2 linked regions of the Tamandua tetradactyla genome follow. The protein of the gene in region 2 interacts with the protein of the main gene of each other region in a pairwise test. Links are inferred from orthologs where the notes say so. Each region holds a gene or a part of one and is shown on either strand. Other genes may lie near its edges.

Evidence for each region. The genes of interacting proteins can lie anywhere in the genome.
Region 1: the proteins of PSMC5 (region 2) and NR1I3 interact in a two-hybrid assay, tested with the Homo sapiens proteins (2 studies listed by BioGRID). The link is inferred for Tamandua tetradactyla from reciprocal best matches to the Homo sapiens genes PSMC5 and NR1I3.

The regions. Positions count from the first base shown.
Region 1 is NC_135330.1:14,357,819-14,367,346, forward strand, and holds the start of NR1I3 (nuclear receptor subfamily 1 group I member 3), read right to left. Parts: upstream 4,551-9,528; 5' UTR 4,346-4,550; intron 4,192-4,345; 5' UTR 4,160-4,191; coding exon 4,053-4,159; intron 3,568-4,052; coding exon 3,437-3,567; intron 2,260-3,436; coding exon 2,090-2,259; intron 1,871-2,089; coding exon 1,731-1,870; intron 1,555-1,730; coding exon 1,409-1,554; intron 1,314-1,408; coding exon 1,197-1,313; intron 1,026-1,196; exon of another isoform or gene 1,020-1,025; coding exon 914-1,019; exon of another isoform or gene 59-913; coding exon 1-58. UniProt on the Homo sapiens protein: Binds and transactivates the retinoic acid response elements that control expression of the retinoic acid receptor beta 2 and alcohol dehydrogenase 3 genes.
Region 2 is NC_135332.1:4,993,313-5,003,827, reverse strand, and holds the start of PSMC5 (26S proteasome regulatory subunit 8), read right to left. Parts: upstream 4,514-10,515; 5' UTR 4,388-4,513; intron 4,272-4,387; 5' UTR 4,198-4,271; coding exon 4,168-4,197; intron 3,607-4,167; coding exon 3,535-3,606; intron 2,233-3,534; coding exon 2,163-2,232; intron 1,843-2,162; coding exon 1,745-1,842; intron 1,565-1,744; coding exon 1,508-1,564; intron 1,429-1,507; coding exon 1,198-1,428; intron 940-1,197; coding exon 813-939; intron 724-812; coding exon 533-723; intron 443-532; coding exon 344-442; intron 262-343; coding exon 151-261; intron 59-150; coding exon 1-58. Other genes in the region: pre-rRNA 2'-O-ribose RNA methyltransferase FTSJ3, read left to right, coding at 4,744-4,810, 4,980-5,085, 5,429-5,475, 5,599-5,678, 6,100-6,199, 6,292-6,486, 8,662-8,777, 8,891-8,995 and 4 more.

The DNA of each region.
Region 1 (9,528 bases), on a different chromosome or scaffold from region 2:
TGCATCATTAATGCTCCGGAGCTCAGCCAACAGGCCCAGCAGCTTCGCATACAGAAACCTTCGGAGGAAACAGCGGGGTTACCAGAGAAAGAGCGGAGAAATAAGTCCGCTGGTAGTCTTGTCCTGAGGCCCTGGTCACCTGAACTGCCCCCCCCCTTAGTGAAGCGAGGTCTGAACACCAGAGAAAATCATGTTCTGGATAACAAATTGATCAAAGGTTCCAAAGGTCCTCAAGGGGGCCCCTGTGTGACACTGTCTTTTCTCGCCATGCTCATTTCCCCCCAAATCCAGGGCTCTGAGGGCCAAGTGTGAAAAAGCCTAGATTTGGCCAGAACTTCAACCGTGTGGAATCTGAGGGTCTGAGATTCTAGAGCAGGTTCTAGATGGTGGGTGTCTTCTATTATATAAAGAATCCCTCTCCTGGCCAAACTGGCTCATTGAGGACTAAGCAAGAAGGAAGTGGAGTGGACCTCAGAGCCTAGATAGAGCATGGACTCTTGAGCCAGGACTGTGAAACTGTGAATGACCGTAACTTCACAGGCAATGAAAAATTAAAGGAATTGGGTCAATGGAGAGGAGGGGGAGGGCTAAGGAAAGGGAATGAATAGTACTCCGGTAAGCCTGCTGTAGTCAGAAGTTGGGTTGGCAAGTTGGGGGATGTCCTCAATCTCAGGAATGCTGCTATTCAGGGCCTGTGAGCTACATACTTTGCATCTCTACTGAATAAAGAAATCTGGAAAAAATGAGATGAAACAGCAGCAGGAGCAATGTGGATGCTGGAACTGTGTGGGATGGGAATGACCAGAGAGAATGACTGGACCCCCAGGGGACCTGGTTTCTCAAAGGAAAGGAAAGTACAAAGCATTCATCCTGAGAACTTTGAGACCTCCAGTCTCTCAGCCTCCCACCATACCGAGCCCGGGGCCTGGGCTGCTGGCCCCTGATGTAGTCTTGCAGAGTCAGTGCCATCTCCTCTTGCAGCTGATCAATCTCCTCTCTCTGGGTAATCCCAGGCCGGTCTGTAGGATGGGGAGCTGAGTTAGGCAAGTTTGGGGGCGGGGGCGGGGGCAGGCCTGCACGGTGCCCCAGGGAGGCTAAGCTTGGATTGAAGAAGCCTGGGGGAGATGGGTTCTAGGATCTGGGAGTTTGGGCAGAGGTGGTGAAGCAAAAGCTTCTGGGCTTTGGGGGATGCTCACCAGGAGAGAAAAGGGCCACGGCAGCCATGAGCACATACTCAGGCTCCTGGAGCTGCAGTCGCCGCAGTGTCCCGTGGAAGCGAAAGAGCAGCTCCAAAAACTCTACCTGGAATCCCACTGCGGGAGATACTAGGTTTAGGATCCACCTGGTCACCTCACCACATACCAGACCGCATGGCCACGTGCCCTCTGCAGCTCCAGTGCCATCTCACCATGGGCTGCGTCTTCTATCGTATAGCGAAGAGGCCCACAGAGGAAGTTTTGTGTTCGAAGACAGAAAGTGGTATTGAGTGCGATGTGACAGATTTCCACAGCTGCTCCCTTGAGAAGGGAGATCTGGTCCTCCATGGGCAGGGACCTGTGGGGAACAGGGTACAAGGGCACCTCAGACCAGCCTGGACTTCAGAGGAGAGGAACTCCCAGGCCTGACTGAGGCACTTAAAACCAAAGTTGGGGGTTGAGTTTTGGTACTTAGAAAGGCTGAGGGGTTTACTGGAGTATTTGGTTCCTGAAAGGTGATGGTGAGTCACTCACCGGAAAAAGGGCAGATCCTTGGTGAACTTGATTACTTGCTGCACCATGAAAGTGTTGATGTCTGCAAAATGTGTGAGCAGAGGTAGCACGGGGGCTAGGGTCGGCAAAGGCTGGTGTTGAATGAACAAATGAGCTGGAGGCTGCAGAGGTCAGAGCGAAAGTGAGAGGCCCTGACACCAGGACTCACCTTTAGGTCTCTCCAGCCTTGCCTTGGAAGGGTTCTGGGCTGAAGAACCTGTCCAGGCTGGGTACTAGAGAAATCCTGTCCATTGGTGCCTGGGACAGAGCCCCCTCCCCTAGGCCAGCCTCCTCGGGCACCCTTTTGGTAATTCTCCTGCCCAGATCCTCCACGTGCTTACCCCAAACTTTACGAACTGCTCAAACATGGTGCCCACGTGACGCGTGTGGGCCTTCAGGAATGTCTGGATCAGCTCTTCCTGCTCCTTGCTCAGCTGCATGGGTGCTTGCTGGGCCCGCCGCTGGGCCCGCTTTGCTCGCCGCTGTGCCAGGGCTTCTGCCGACAGGATCACTGTGTCCAGGCAAAATACAGGACGAAGCTATTGAAATCAGCACAGAGCACCTATCTCTGCCAGCCCTTGGTCTGGCGCAATGAAGCAGGGAGGGGGCTGAGACTTTCCTGGCTCTTGCTGAAGCCTAGAGGCTCCAAGTGGTAGGGGATCCCTGCACACTGGCACCACAGCAGGAAACACCATGGAAGAGGAGGGGAGGGTGGGCAGCAGAGTGGGCAAAGTATAAGGAATTGTGGCTCCTGGGGGATCTATGATGGGGGATGGGGCATGAAACCTAAACACCTTATGTTTGCATAGTACTATAATTTCAAAGATTCTTAGGTTAAATCTCACTGGATTAAATAACCCTATGGGGAGATAGGACAGGTATTAATATCCATATTTTTTCAGAGAAGTAAAACAGGGAAAGATTCCTGGGATAGGTCCAAGTCACAAAATATTCAAGTGATATATGTTAAGTTCAAACCAAGATCTTTTTCAACTTCTACAGCTTCTTTTCCTTTGCTCCATATCAAAAAATAGTGTGATGTCATGGAAAAAAGCAGAACTTGGGAGTCAGACAGAGTTGAGTTTGAATCCTAGCTCTGCAACTTTTTAGCTGAATGATCTTGGGCACGTAACTGGAGTAAAATCTCCACTTACATCATCTGTTGGAAGCACAGAATAGCTGCCCAACACAAGGAAAGCATTAAATAATTCAACAACTACTGAATACCTGCTAGGTAACAGGCACTCCATTCAGAAGGTAGAAAGGAAAAAGCAAGCCCCATAAGTATCTGGGGTATGAGCATCCCAGGTAGAGGAGAAATAGTAAGTGCGAAAATCCTGGGGAGAGTGTGCGTGGTGCATTTGAGGATGACAGTGAAGTTATTGTGGCTGGAATGGACTGAGCAAGGCGAATAGAGTGGGAAATAAAATCTGAGAGGCCGGGTGGGGCAGCTGGACTACGGAGATCATGAGATCATATACGCTAAGAAAGATGGAGGATTACTGAAGGTTATGAGCAGAAGAGTGACATAATATGACTTTGTTTTCTATAAAGCTTATTCTCCCCATGTACCCACCCCCACCCCCCCACCCCCTGCCCTGGCTGTTATGTAGACCACATGCTATAAGGAGCAAGGACAAACAGAGACAGAGTCTGTGGATTCACGGGATGGTAAGGCGCCAACTCACTGTCCTTCCTCATGCCAGCATCCAGGCACTTCTGCATCCTGCAGGCTGGGCAATGGCGCCGCTGGGTCTTGCTGACCTTACAGCTTCCAGCAAAGGGACAGGTAAGACCAGTGCTTTTGTTGACTGTTCGTCTGTGAAAGAGAAAGAAACATTGTTAGGGACAGGGATGGCAGTCACCAGGTGGCTGGGTACATCAGAGGCTGAGAGGAGATGGTCTAAAAGTCCTGGGGATCTCTGGTAAGGTGGGCTAGTCTGGGCTGTGTCCACAAGTCCCCAGAGGTGGATAGGGTATGGCACATCTCAAGCATTTCCATGGGACCACAGGATTACTCAGGAAAGCCTAGCACTTAGCTCCATGATTTGCAGGTAGTGGGCACATACTAAGTATTCTTGACTGATTTGGTGTGCCTGTAAGACAAACGTTCAGCCTTCTCTCTTATCATGCCACCTGGTTATACAGCGTTGGATTGGTGTGACGTGGCATGCTAGCCCCTGGGTAGGTGGGCTCTCAGATGCAGGAGTAACGCAGCTAGACAAGCTTGGGCATGTGCCGGGGCTTCAAGGCTGACTGACAGGCAATTTGGGGGGTTGTTTCTGTTGGGAAAGAGGCTCTCACCTGAAGAAACCCTTGCAGCCCTCACAAGTCAGGGCATGGAAGTGGTAGCCTGTGGCTCGGTCCCCACATACCACACAGTCCCTCGGCTCATCTTCCCCACTGGCCATGGCATCAGGTGTTGGGGTCACCTTTACAGACCCTTGAATGTGAGAGGGATTAACAGTCAGCTCTGGGCCACCCTTAACCCTCTTTATTCTATTCTGCAGAGCGTTTCCCCAACCCTTCCCTGGCCCTGTCCCTCCAGTATTACTGGTACTTTGGCTTTGGTGTCTGGTCCTCAGCAGATTTCCTACCTGCCCCTCTTAGGCAGCATGCCACCTGCACGCCACAGGATTGGGTGTCTCCCCAAACTCTCACGCTTCCTCTGATTTCCCTCTCATCTCAGGAGCTGCCATCGCTTGGAGTCAGGGATTGTGGCTCTCAGTACCTGAAAAACAAGGGACTTCTGTTGTATGTGGCCTCCAGTAGCTCTCAGTGACTACCTAAGTGGGGCGCAGACTCTGGACCCAGGGCAAAGGTTTTCCCAGCATGCCCATGGTGCTTTTCCCTGGCACATGGGGAGGGACCCAGGGTGGGGGATGCATAGTGGGGAGTTCATGGCTCATTATAAACTGCTCCTTATCAGATCCATGTAGATTTTCCGTACTTCTGAGCTTCAGGCCCAAATCTTCAGCTTGCTTTTTATGAGGTTCTTGGGCAATCTGGGGAGAGGGAGGCAGCGCACTCTTATTCACGAGTCAGTAGTTAAAGAACAGTAGTAACAATTCCACAAAGCTCCCAAAAAGAAAGTTTTTAAAAAGAAACCAGAGTCCAACTAAAAGTCTATGCAAAGAGCTAGAAAGAGTCCCATTTCTTAACTAGGGAGGTCTGAGAATTAAATAAGAGTGGCCTCTAATCATTTAGGGGTAGTTGGGGTTGATTTGAGGACTCTTGAATCTGAGCTGGCTTCTCGGACATGTGACCCATAGAGTAGCACAAAGGCTACTCTCAGAGGGACCCTGCGCTTGTTTAATGCTGTGCTGTTGCCATCCTGAAATTCGCAATAATTTTTGAACATTTTCATTTTGCACTGGGTTCAAAAAATTATTTAGCTTTTACCCAAGATGAAGGACTCATGAACTTCTAATTAATAAATTTAAGAATCAGAAAAGAAGAAAATCATAAACAGGAGTCCAGTGTTCCACTGGTACTGCAGAATATGTTTGCAAGTGTAAAGTATACCTATGCGTGCGTGTGTTATATTGTAGGTATGATACACGCATGCGCATGCATACCGTCCCAACATCTGTGAATAGAAGTAATTTCAAAAGGCATTTGGATGTTTTGGGGATGGTCTTCGTGTTTCGGAAATAAATGTCGAATCAAGTAGGTAAAGGAAGCAGCACGTTTTCCCATCACAAATCTGATCCCACCTACCCTGGAATCAAGTCCAAAATCTCAGTTTTCCCATTTGAAAGGTCCTTCTCACTGCACATCTCCCTAGGTATTTGCTGTTCCCACACTGCACAGTCTCCAGCTGCTGGAAATAAGCATTTTTCTAATATTCCTTTTATCATGCCTTTTGCTTCCTCAGTTGATTTAAGTTATAATTAATGAGGCTGTAAAGATGAGTTAAAAACGCCAAGTGCAGGCTGGAGTCATCCACACACTCGTGTGCACACACACTTACAGATAGGCGGAGAAGGAGAGAGAGAGAGAGAGAGAGAGAGAGAGAGAGAGAGACTGCTTTCAAAAGGTTCACGTCGCCGGAATGAGTTGATGAACCCCTTAGTTCCAAGTGGTACAGCATCCACTGTGCATAAATTTGCATTTTAAAAGAAGCTGAGTTCCAGAGGGCACAGGTGCTTGGATTTGATTGCTTGGGAGTTGATGAATATATTTACGTGTGTGCATCTGTTAGTAGCTGCTTGAGTGTGACTGAGAGAATTTGATTCAATCAACAAATAATGACTGAGAACCTACTATGTGTTAGAAATAGGAATACAAAGAAGAAGATGCTCTTCTACACGCAAGGAATTGAAATGCTAGTGGGGGCAGCAGACCTTTAAGCAGGCATAAAGAAATGTAGTCAGATTAATGATGGCACAGAGCACTATGGGACTACAGAGGAGTAGTCCCTCTTTGCCTAATCCTGCTTTGGCAAAGGGGTGTTGAGGAGGGACAGGGGAGGCTTCCTGGAGGATTGATAACTGAACTAATTTTTAAAGGATAATTAAGAGTTAGCCAGATGAAGATGTAAGGCAGTCCAGGCAGAGGGTACAACCTGAGAAGTTAAAAAAAGCCAGAGACAAAATAGTGAATAGGGTTGAACCATAAATAGTCCTCTCTTACTGAACATAACATCTCAGGCTGGGGGTACAAAGAGATACGGCTATAGAGATGGAATATGAGGTTCAGATCGTGGAAGATTTTATGTGTCAGGCTAAGAGCTTAGTGTCTTAGTGTATTAGTTAGGGTTCTCTAGAGAAACAGAATCAACAGGGAACACTTGCAAATATAAAATTTATAAAAGTGTCTCACGTGACGGCGGGAACGCAGAATCCAAAATCCGCAGGGCAGGCTGTGAAGCTGACGATTCAGATGGAGGGTCTGGACGAACTCCACAGGAGAGGCTCGCCAGCCAAAGCAGGAAGAGAGCCTGTCTCTTTTGAATCCTCCTTAAAAGGCTCCTGGTGATTAGATTGAGCATCACTCACTGCAGAAGACACTCCCCTTGGCTGATTACAAATGGAATCAGCTGTGGATACAGCTGACGTGATCATGATCTAATTCTATGAAATGTCCTCATTGCAACAGACAGGCCAGCACTGCCCAGCCAGGCAAACAGGTACCACCACTTGGCCAAGTTGACACATGAACCTGACCATGATACTTAGTGTCTTAGTATGCCAGGGATGCTGTGACAAATACCACACAATGGGTTGGCTTAAACAATAAGAATTTATTGACTCATGGTTTTAGAGTACCTAAGTCTCAAGTCAAGATGTCTGCAAGGCGATGTTTTCTCCCTGAAGTCTGAAGCATTATGGTGATGGCTTACTGCAAACTTTGGGGTTCCTTGATTTGTTCTTCTGCCTCTGTCACATGAAGAGGTCTTTGGGCTCTTCCTGTGGCTTTCTCTGAGTTCCATCTTCTCTCACTGATCCCAAATTTCCTCTCTCAATAAGGTCTCCAGTAATACAGATTAAGACCCACTACTCTCACTCAGTTTGGCCATTCCTTAAATAATGCAAATATCTTCGAAACGTCCTATTTACAAATGGGTTCACACCCACAGGAATGCAGATTAAGAGCATGGCTTTAGTTGGCATGCATGATTCAAATGATCACAATCAGAAAGCTCTTTAAAGGTCTTAAACTGTAAAGTTATATGCTCAGATCTGTGTTCTAGATAGCTCACTCTGCTGGCTGTTTGGATGATGTACATGAGGGGGCAGGACTGAAGACAAAGAGACCAATTAGAAAGCTATTACCTTGATGTAGGTGAGAGAAGATTAAGCCTGAGCCGAAAAAATTGTAGGATGTAGGGGAGGAGAGTGTTTTAAGAATACATGGGAGGTGAAATCATTGAAACTTGGTGATTACAGAATGTCTGGGCTGAGGAGTATGGGGAAAGAGTTAAGATGATCCAGGTTTCTAGCTTGGGTGATTGAGTAGGTGGTGGTACTACCAAATGAAAGAGAGACTACAGGAGGAAGACAAGGGTCCTTTATACTAGGGCCCCAATACACTTCCACCATCATCAATTTACTCTAGCAATAAGTTATTAAGTGTCACTGTGTAGTTAGGCACTATGGGGAGGGATAAAAGACAGTGTACTATTACAGAGGCGCAGTCTAATTATGGAGACTGCAGAAATAAATTGAACTCCTGGATCTTGCAAGAAAGTATATAATCAAACTCTAAATTGTATGCAAAGATTATGTATAATATTATAGTTATTAATTGATTCATTCATTTAATATTACTGAATGCCCGATCCATGGAGAGTACTGTGTAAGAATACATACCTATATTAACTTATAAGATAGGTAATATCATTTTTCAGATGATAAAACTGAGGCTCAGAGAAATTTAACAACTTGCACAAGGATCATTATATCCCAAAATTTATTAGACCCACTTGGATGTCATGTAGGCATTTGATATTCAATATGTCTAAAAAGGAATTCACTGTCAATAACCACCCTACCCTCCGAACAAACTTTTCTTATATTACCTAATTTGATAACTAGCCCAGTATGAGGAAGTGGAAAGAGCATGGGCTTAGGTTCAAGTCATACGGACTTAGGTTCAAATTCTGGCTCTGGCTTTTGCTAGTTGAATCACATTTTTACTCCTTCCCTACTTGTTTGAAACAGCTGAGACCATGAGACCCTGGGAGTCAGCTACCACCAGGCTGGGCCAGCTCCAGACCTGGGAAAGGAGGCAGACTTCCTTTTCTGATGTCATCGTGGAATCTTAGGTGAGGTCCAGTCTGGAAGACAGCTGCTCTGGCTCAGGGCAGAGCCTCATTATTCTTAGAGAAGTCCATCTTGAAATTCTCTTGAAATGGATTTGCCTGGGGGGCATACCTTTCTGAGCTTGCTGTTCTATGTACAGAAATGCTCCCCCAGTCTCAAGGTCCCTACCGTGGAGCAGACTGAGCCAGGGATCTGCTCCACGATGACAGGTTTCCAGGGTTAACTGACATCCTCACAGTCCTCCAACATGCCAGTCTTAGGCCAGGATCTGAAAAACTTCTCCAGTGTTCGAGGCCTGGTGGGGTGATGCTCTCTGAACTTCTTATCTTGGAATGAAGGTTGATATTGATAACATCCACCCTCCAGGCTTATTGTGAAGATCAGATGAAGTAATATATGTAAAATTCCTTACATAGTGCCTGTAATGTAAAAGGAAGTCAATACATGTTCAACCCCTTACTCTTTTGTTTTCTTCCCCTCTACTGCCACCCTCTCTCAGTTGCCACGCCAAAAGCTGGGAAATCACCTGGTTGCCTTTCTCTCCCTCATTCCCTAAAAATGCCAGTGTCATGACCTGTCATTTCTACCTCTACGTGCCCCTTACTTCTTAGCTTCATTTAGGCTCTCATCATTTTCCTCTTATTACTGCTGTAGCCTATTAAATTATCCTCCCAATTCCCAGCCTCATCTCTTAACAACTTATCCTTCATGCTATTGCTATTTCTAAAATGCAAATTTGATTGTGTCTCTCCCCTGCTTAAAATTCTTCATTTGCTTCCCGTCACCTTCAGTATAAAAACCAATCTCTTTAGCATGTCACACAAAGTCCTTTGTGATGTGGCCTCTATTAATCACTCTCGTCTATTCTCCTCCCACTCCCCGCCCCTGACCTAACACATAACATTGTAGCTCTAGAGGTGCTTAAGCATTTAGAGTTCCCTGAACAAGCTGAGCTTGTTCGCCTCTGAGCATCTGCCCTTGTTTTGTCTGGTTGAAATTGCCATCTCCCACTT
Region 2 (10,515 bases):
GGGTGACATGGACTCGCCGTTCCCGCAGGGCATACATGCCAGCTTCTGTACATACACCCTTAGCAGAGGAAAGAAGACAAGACACTGTTGGTGTGTTCCTCAGCCCTGAACCCAGAGTTTCCAGCCACTATTTTTCGGTAGTCCAACTACCTTCACTTCAGCCCCTGATGCTCCTGGCATAAGCTCAGCAATTTTTCTCAGGTTGATCCCCCGGGTTAGGTTCATTTTCCGAGAATGGATCTTCAAAATGTCTAGCCGGGCCTAGAGACCAGAGAGGAAAGGCCTGAGCTTCATCCCTCTAACTCCAGAGCCAGAGCCACTCCCAGCATCACCCATCACAAACCTCTTCATTGGGGGGTGGGAATTCAATTTTTCTGTCGATGCGCCCTGGACGAAGCAGTGCTGAGTCTAGGATATCAATCCTATTAGTAGCCATGATAACCTGAGCAGAGAGGGGGTGGGGAGAGCATCAGCCAAGCTCTTCTTCAACTTGCAAGTCAGCCAGGGCCTTCCTTTCATTCAGAGTACTTACTTTGATATTCTTGGTGGCCTCAAAGCCATCCAGCTGGTTGAGAAGCTCCAGCATTGTGCGCTGTACCTCACTGTCCCCTCCAGAACCCCCTTCCAGCCGTGAAGAGCCAATGGAGTCAATTTCATCCATGAAGATGATGGATGGAGCATGTTCTCGAGCCATCACAAAGAGCTCCCTCACCATTCTTGCCCCTGTGCAGAGGCCAAGCTGGTGTTAAGAACTGATGGGACCTTTGCCTCCCTCGCTTCCACTTGGTTCTCATGTTCCTAGCCACTGTTACCTTCCCCAATGAATTTCTGTACCAATTCAGAGCCAGAGACACGGATAAAGGTACAGTCCGTATGATGAGCCACAGCCCGGGCCAACAGTGTCTTCCCTGTGCCTGGGGGTCCATACAGCAGCACTCCCTAGAGGGATATAAGGGGACTCAGAATATAAGCCAGCCTCCTCATTTCATCCAATGAACATCTGCTGAATGCCCACTGTGGCATGCTAGAGACTAGGGATACAAAAACTGAATGTCAAGGTCCCTTCTGGAGCTTAAATCCAAATCACCCTAGAGCCCTGGAAACATCACACCCCCAGCCTCTCCAGTGGAGAGGGGTTGGCCTAGGGTGGGAGTGATACAGCACAGCACGGCCTTCTCAAAGAAGCCCTGTCCTCACCTTGGGTTGTGCAATGCCCAAGGCTTCAAAGAGCTCAGGATGCTTAACAGGCAGCTCTATCACTTCTTTGATTTCCTTGATCTGCTTGTCCAATCCACCAATCATCTCATAAGTTGAATCTGGCACCTTCTCCACCATCATCAATGATACCAATGGGTCTACCTTGTTGGGCAGAATCTTGTGCAAAGTATAGCTGTCATTCCTTAGAGCCACCCGGCAATTGGGTGTCACCTGGGCAAGGGGAGCAAAATAGTTTCAGGAAGTGGTCCAGTGGGAGCTGACCCTTATCCCCACTACCTGCCTTACTCACGTCATTGATGTCAATATTCTTGTCCACATCTACAACAAACTTGCCCTCGGGATGTACCTAAAAGAAACAAGTGTTCATGACCTTCCCTGAAAGCCTCCAAATTAGCAACCCTACCCAGGAAGACCCATGAGAGTCCTACAGTAACATGACAGAACACGATCCTTTCAAGAATTCACACAAAGGGGCAGGGATGCAATGAGCAATTGAGGCTGGTCCCCAGGGTCATATCACCTTTACCTTAACCAACACTTTCTTCTTATCCATGGCCCGGACAACTTCCCCCACATAAGAGCCCTGTTCCTGCAACAGCTGAAGCTCTTCCCGCAACAGACGAACTAGGTAGGAAAACAGACATAATGGTCACTTACAATGGTATTCTTTCACCCATATTCAATTCAAGCATGAACATTTTGAAATTCTGAAGGGAAGATCACAAAAAACCCTCAACAATACTTATCTTTAAGGGGTTATAGCTCAGGAAAGTAATGTGCATGTGAAACAGCTACATGAAGACAATGCAAAACATTACCTTGGATTGGGAGAAAACAATAAGCACTGCTGTTCAGACAGACGGGAACAGAGACAGTTCAGAGACCAGGAACAGTCAAACCTTAGCCACTGCCCACATGCAGCCCTCCCATCTTTCCCCCCTCACCTTTTGCATTTAACTCATTCCTCTGTGCCTGCAGCCGCCGGAGGTTCTGACTCTTGTCATTTACAATCAGCTATAGAGGACAAGAGACAGATATTGCATTACCCAAGGGCAGAAGTTAGCAAGGTAGAGCTTGACCAAAACCCTTCATAAGTAGGTATGAGCTGAGTGAGGGAAGGGCACAGGGAACCTATACGTTATTCAGATTCTCTAATATTCTAATGACCCTGTTCTGTCCTCCAAGAATCCCTCTGGACTATGGGGCAGCTATCAAAAAAGGCTATTTGTCCAATACTGGTCCAGAAATAATAGACCCTAATGAAGAAAAGTTAGAGCTGGTTCATGTAGTGAATTCTGGGGGAGGCAACATGGTGTGGTGGAAAGATTTCTAGCTTTTAAGCCAGAAACTGGAGTTGTAGCCTGACCACTGCCAGCTAGGTAAAGCTAGGGCATGCTACTTAAAAGATCTGTTTCCAGATACATAGTATAGCATCACATACTCTGCTGCTTTTTAGAACTATGGTGAAGAACAAATGAAATATATAATAGCATTTTCAAAATGATACACAAAATATAATACCTGCAAATGTACCTTGAGTCCCGAAATTTTCCATGTGGCTTCTCCCCCATCTAATTTATATACTTTTCTTATTTCTATGGTCCCTGCCCCCTCTTAAGGCAACAGCCCTGGGTGGTCAATTCCTTTTTATTCAGTCCCATAAAATAAGCATTGTCCAGAGCCCACAATGCTGTTTTCCCTCACACTAATTTCACCTGCTCCAAACTCTGGTAAGACTCATCTCCTGGACCTCTATCTTGCCTTCTATAAGAAATTCTCTCATTTAGCCCTCTTTCAGTTTGACTCCTGAAGATGTATAACAAATTGTGAATACTGACTACCCTCAAAGGGGTGGGACTTCAAGAGAACAAGAGATCATCAATTTCATATACTTTATATTGTTGGCTTAGTACTTTTTAAAAAAAATATTTTTATTGTAAATAACAAACACACAAACATTCTTGACATGGTTACAATCAATGGCTCACAATATCATCACATAGTTGTGTATTCATCACCATGATCATTTTTTTTGAACATCTGCATCTCTCCAGCAAAAGAAATTAAAAAAAAAAAACTCATACATGCCATACCCTTTACCCCTCCCTCTCACTGACCACTAGTATTTCAAGCTACTCAACTTATCAGTGCATTAGTTCTTCTTAAATGTACACCTCTCTCAAAAAACTAAAAAGAAACAAGAAAAGGAAAGGAATAAGACTCTTCCACTGCACCCTGGGATGGAATTCATGGATTTGCAGAAATGGGTTTCAAGCAATCATTCCCCTCCCAACTCCCTGTGGAATCCGTCCTCACCTGAAGTTCTTCAATCTTGGACAGATAATATTGGCGGAGTCCACTGCCTGCCTTCCCCTCTTCCAGCTCCATCTGAAGACACCATAATTATTAAACAACAACAGGCTAAGCATCCAAATGATTAAAAACCACAAGGCATAAATAACAGGCAGCTTTATGCGGTAAAAAAGAGCTTGGACACTGGAGCATAAGATTTGGATTCTAATCCCTTCTGAACCCCTCTGCAACCCCCCACCCCATTTTCACATGACTAAAATAAAATGAAAGCAGGAGGCTCAAGAAACGGTATACATTGAAAGCTTTGTAAAGCGTCGATCGCCATACAAACCCGAGGTGTTACAAGCGGAGAGGGCAGGAAGGACGGGTGCTCTGTCCCCAACCTACTTGCAACTCGCGGCTGGTCCCGATGCACTCCCATCACTCCTCTCACTTATTCCCACCGAGTCTTCCTCTCATGGCCCTGCCCTCATTCACCGGGGGCGGCGCTGACATAGCAGAATCGGTCCCAGGCAAGGCCCAGTCTGTATTGGCCCACCTGTTCACCCTAACCATCTTGCCCCGGCCTGATACCCATCTCGGTTCACGCCCGCTCTCCACCCAGCCTGGGTTTCTGACCCGCCGACATCAACATACCTGCTCTGGCCCATCAAGCGCCATTTTCATTCTTCAGAGGAGGCCGCGGGCATAGGAATCTTGGTGCGCAAGCGCACAAGCAGCGGCTTGGACAAGACCGAGGGCTGGTACAAAGAAGAGTTCCGGGTCAATGGGCGGGGTGTGCAGAAGGGTAACAGGGGCCGGGATGCTATAATTTCTCGAGTCGGGAGTTTTGGAAGGAGACAAGGATGGGACAGACCTCCCAAATGTTGTTTTCTAGAAGCTCCGTTTTTAGTTCACCCTCCTGGTCCTAACTTTCAATTTATAAAACTTGTGGACCGTGTATAGAACAAAGTTATGGCCACTCTCAAAATGGTGGAAAACTTGGAACCGGGGACGTAAGGGGCACAAGCGGAAGCGGAAGTACGTTTGCGGCTCGCGGTTCCTAAATGTGGCGGAAACGACGCAAGATCCTGGTGAGTGAGGTGGAGCAGCATGCGGCGTGTGATTGTTTGAGAAAGTAAGGCACCGAAAGTGTAATATATTGCTTGGGAGGAGACGTTCCCAACTTGTCGCACTTTCTCTCCAGATTGAGTGACACTCGAGTATCTCACCATGGGCAAGAAGGGCAAAGTTGGGAAGAGTCGGCGGGATAAGTTCTATCACTTGGCGAAGGAGACCGGTGAGTCAGAGTTCGCGCTGCAGTTAGCGAACATACAATCTTGGGTCTTTCCGCTCCCCTTTCCCGAATATTAGATTCCTCTTCCGCTGACGGTCGTGTGTCGTGAGGCTGCGGAGAAATATCTCATAAAACCCTGCATAGACTTCATTGTTTTGTCGCCGCTTCTCAGGTTATCGCTCCCGCTCTGCTTTCAAGCTAATCCAACTCAATCGCCGCTTCCAGTTCCTCCAGAAAGCTCGAGCCTTGCTGGACCTGTGTGCCGCGCCAGGAGGATGGTGCGTATAACACCCTTCACGGGTCGCGCTTGATAGTGTTTTTCGGGTTTTTAGTCCTGGGTGGTTTAGATTGGGAGTTGCGTTGGGGGAGGGATGAATTTGGGATGCTTCCTGCATTCTTCTCTCTATATACAATAATCCCAGCCTCAAACTTCTTATCTCTGAGCATAGATTTCTCCTAAACATTGGTGGTCTTTTTTTTTTTTTTTTTTTTTTGATTGCAGAGAAGAGGCTGGGAATGTGTACCTTTGACAGACTCTGGCCACTGCACTTGATAAGGGCTCCCTCCACTAGCGGTGACAGATCACATTGGGTATTTAAAAATGCTGTTTCTCTTTTATAGGCTGCAGGTGGCTTCCAAGTTTATGCCTGTGTCCAGCCTTATTGTGGGTGAGTGACAGGTGGCTCTCTTGGGTGTTTTAAGGGGTGGGAATGTGAGATATTATCTCTGTACTCTTCCTTCCTCCCTTTTCGGGGCAGCCCTTTGGAATACTTTGACCTGATTTCTTCCAGGTGTGGACCTGGTTCCAATCAAGCCTCTCCCCAGTGTGGTGACACTCCAGGAGGACATCACAACAGAACGCTGTCGACAGGTAATAAGAATCCCTCTCTTCTTGTTCCTTTATATGTAGACATCCGTGTTACTTCCTCTTCTCACTCAAATCCACTGAAGCAAGATTTTTCTGGATATTGTGCCCTGAGCAGTGGCACCGTGATGTGATGTTTCTAGTGTCTATTCTGTCCTCTGTTTGGGAGTAGGGAATGAGGTCTTTGGGACCTGAGGACAGGACAGAGATCTTCAGTGAAGTTCTTTCTGGTGAACTCCACTATTGGACTTTAAGCTCCATGAAGTCAGGAACATTATTTTTGTTCACCATGGTCTACCCCGCACCTAGAACAAGATTTGGCTCATGGCAGGCATTCAACAAATGAGTAGGGAGATGACTGACCCAGGGACTCCATTCCTAGGGACTCCTTTGTTTCTGCTGCCATAATCGTTTTACTTCTCTGTAGGCCCTGAGGAAAGAGCTAAAGACCTGGAAGGTGGATGTTGTGCTCAATGATGGGGCACCCAATGTTGGGGCTAGTTGGGTCCATGATGCTTACTCACAAGGTACCTGGGGAGGGAGAGATGAGGGTGAGGGCGGAGGTGGGCATGTCCTCTCAGGCTACAGAAGTCCCGAACTGACTGTCTTTATCCCACAGCCCATTTGACACTCATGGCTCTGCGTTTGGCTTGTGATTTTCTGGCCCGTGGTGGCTGCTTCATCACAAAGGTTTTCCGCTCTCGTGACTATCAGCCCCTACTATGGATTTTCCAACAGCTGTTTCGCCGTGTCCAGGCCACCAAGCCTCAAGCCTCTCGCCATGAATCTGCAGAGATCTTTGTGTTTTGCCAGGGTAGGCACCACTTTCTTCTTTGCCTTGATTCAGTCTCTCAACTACCAAAGCATACTCTTTTTCTTAATTTAAAATTTTTTTATTTTGAAATGTTTTCAAACTTACACAACAGTTATAAAAATAATACAAACCCATGGGGGAACCTTCAACATATTCCTATCCCCCAAGTTACTCAGATCCATAGAATAGGTGAACTATGTTCCTGTACCCCTCCATCCCCCCACCTTTATGTAGTTGTCATTACAAATTATGCACATAACTCATTATGAGTCCCAAACCACTGATTTCTCATACATTTGCCTTTTAGATCCTATAGGAAGTTAAAAATGGAGTTAGAAGCACGAAATACAATCATAGTGATATTTATATTTACCCTTGTCATTTTCCTTACCAGAGAATATTTATTTATTCTTGTGGTTTTGATCTATTGTCTTCTGTCCTTTCCTTTCAATCTGCAGACCTCTCTTTAGCATCTCTTGTCAGGTTGGTCTGATGGTACTAAACTCCTTCAGCTTTTGTTTATCTGGAAATGTCTTAATCTTTCATTTCTGGTAGACAGTTTTGTTAGATATGGGATTCTTAGTTGGCAGTTTTTTTGCTTTCAGACCTTTAAAATGTTATTCTGTTACTTTCTTGCCTTCATGGTTTCTGATGAGAAATACACATTCAGTCTCATTGAGGCTCCCTTGTATGTGACTTGTTGCTCTTCTCTTGTGGTTTTCAGAATTCTCTCATCTTTGGTATTCAGCAACTTGATCAGAATAAGCTGCATCGTGGGTCTGTTTGGGTTTATCCTGTTTGAAGTTCATTGGGTGTCTTGGATGAATATATTCATGTCTTTTGTTAATTTGAGAAGTTTTCTGCCATTATTTCTTTGAACGTTCTCTGCCTTTTTTCTTCCTGGGACTCCTGCAATATGTATATTGGTACACTTGATGGTCTCTCAGTTCCTCAGGCTTTGCTCGCTTTTCTTCATTCTTCTTTCTGCTCCTCAGTCTGCATGATTTGAATTTTCATATCTTCAAGTTCATTCTTTCTTCTCCCAGCTCCAATGTGATATTGAACCCCTCTAGGGAATTTTTTATTTCTGTTACTATGGTCTTTAGCTTTGTTTGGTTCCTTTACCAAATTTCCCTTTCTCTGTTCATACTCTGTGTTCATCTGTCATTTTTCTGATTTCCTTTACTACTTTTTTTCCTTTAGCTCTTTGAGCATATTTAGGATCATTTTGTTAGTCTTTATTTGGTATATCCCAGAGGTGGTCTTTATTGATGGTTTCTTATATTTTAATTTTTTCCTTTGCATGGGCTGTCACTTCCTATTTCTTTGTAGGTTTTATAATCTTTGGTTAAAACCTGGACATTTTGGTATTTTAATGTGTTAATCAGAATTTAGACTGAGTTTGTTCCTTAAACCTGTATCCAGCTAGTGTTGATAAAACCTTCCTTGAATACTGGGAGCTAACATAAGAAGAGTGGGGAGAAAAAGAAACATCTTCCCAATCTTTACAGATTTACCTGTGCAAGTGCTCTTCTTAAGTGTTTATGCAGTGAGTTTAGAGAATAGCACCAGGCTAAAGCATTGGGGGTCTCCCTAATCCTTTCTGCATATGCATCTTGTCTTGGGCATGCACATGTGACCCTCAGAATTCCTCTGTTTACATGGATTAAATTCTTTGTTCTCTAGGAAACAGTTTCTTCATGGTTCTGAGCACTTACTGTATGTCCTACAGGCAGCAGTCCATTGCCCCAGGCAGCCACTTGCCTGCTCTCCCACAGCATTCTGTAGGAGAGCTCTGTGAGCTTCTACACTCAGGGCAAATTCTGAGACTACAAGTCCCTCAGGCCATCACCAGACAGATTGGGCCATGTACACGTGATCCCAATATGTGCATGAGAGTTACTTGCTCCCTCTGGAACCAGGACCAGGAATCCACACGGGGTTGGGGAGGGACCAGCCAGGATGCCTCAAGATCCTACCACTTTTAAGTAGCCTCTCACTGTTAGTATAGTCCTTGAACTGTTTTCTGGGTCTTTGAGAAAGATGTTTGTGCCAGTTCTTGCTGGTTGTTTAAAGATTCTGTTGGGGGACAGAGTCCTGAAGTGTCTCACTGTGGCATCTTGATGGGATGGGACATAACCAAAGCATACTTTTAAAAATATCTTGCTATCTTAGGATTCCTAGCTCCTGACAAGGTTGACAGTAAATTCTTTGACCCGAAATTTGCCTTCAAGGAGGTTGAAGTTCAGGCTAAGACTGTTACTGAGTTGGTGACTAAGAAGAAACCAAAGGTGTGTTTGTGGTATGGGGCCACCCTTGGGTCCTAGAATTCTGGGAAAGTTGGCCCTGGTGGGTCCTCCTGATACCCCAGAAGTGGCTGCTCATCTTTATTTCTCTCCATAAGGCTGAAGGCTATGCTGACGGTGACCTCACTCTCTATCACTGTTCATCAGTCACAGACTTCCTCCGAGTTGCCAACCCTGTTGACTTCCTCTCTAAGACCAGCGAAGTGAGTCTAAGAATTGATGACTATAAAGGAACCCCACAAATATGGTCCAAGAATCTCCTCTGACTCCTTTCCTTTCTCCCAAATAGATCTTGCTAGATGATGAAGAATTAGCCCAGCACCCAGCTACCAATGAGGATATACGGGCATGCTGTCAGGACATCAAAGTGCTAGGGCGCAAGGAGCTCAGGTATGGGGTAGGGATGGGTATAAGGTGTCAGGAGCCCTGAGGGCAGGAAAAGACCTTTGAAGGCCATGATGTTGTATTGTGCAGAGGTTTGGGGGCAGGGTATGTCTGAGCTCTGGGATTTACGTGACTCAAGACTGGAATTTGGTGTTTGGGCCTAAAACAGAAGAGGGAGCAGGGACAAAGGAAAATGGTAAGATCAATAATAGCATTTTGGGGGCAGATCTCTGCTGAATTGGAGAACAAAGCTTCGTCGATACGTGGCCAAGAAGCTGAAAGAGCAAGCCAAGGCCCTGGACATTAGGTGAGTTGGGAACTCAACCAGGGCAGGTGCTGATTGGGCATCAGGGAAAGCATCTGAGAAAATAACCAAACTTCTTGTACTGTTTTGTCAGCCTCAGCTCAGGAGAAGAGGAAGAAGGTGAAGAGGAGTCAAAAGCAGGGACCACAAGGCAGCCCTCCAAGGAGGAGGAGGAGGAGGAACAGCTGAACTGGACCCTGGCAGAGATGAAAGCACAGGAAGTGGCAGAGCTGAAGAGGTGAGAGGAGCTGGAGGAACCCTACCACAGAGATCCTCAGTGTGTGAAGATGGAAGAGAGTGAAGGGCATGGGTAGGGAATCCTCACAGCTGGGCACAGTAAAGGTTTAATCCCTACAACCCCATCTCCTCAGGAAGAAAAAGAAGCTGTTGCGGGAGCAGAGAAAACAACGGGAGCGTGTGGAGCTGAAGATGGATCTGCCTGGGGTTTCCATTGCAGATGAAGGAGAAACTGGCATGTTCTCCTTGCGTACCATCAGAGGTCACCAGGTGGGGTGTATAGACTGAGGAGACAGAAGGATCTGTTTGGGTGCTTGGATTTAGGAGGGCACTGGATGTGTTGAAGTGTGGCTCAGTGGTCAGAGGTCATGTTATTGGCAAGTGGGAGATAGAAATAAATAGGAGCCTATGTTTCAAAGACCAGGAAGGAACATACATCTAAAATTTGAAATTAGGAAGACTTAGGAGTATGATATAGAATTATTCTTGTGGAACTATGAGGTACTCTTTGCAAGAAATTGAGGATATAACAGATGTAGCCAGGGTACTTGGACTACAAGCATGAGTGTAAGTGGAGGGTTTTCCTTAAAGAGAAAATGCCCTTCAGTTCTGGAGATCAAATAACTGCCTTGGTACACTAGGCTACCAGACACTGCTTTCTGCCAGGTAAAAGCAGTGTCACAAGCAAAATGAGCTATTGTGGCAGTTGTGTAGAAATGTAATTAATATCCCAGTAATCTGTTGACAAGAGAGGCAATAGAGTACTGGCCTGCAGACATAGGCTCAGGTTTCAATCCC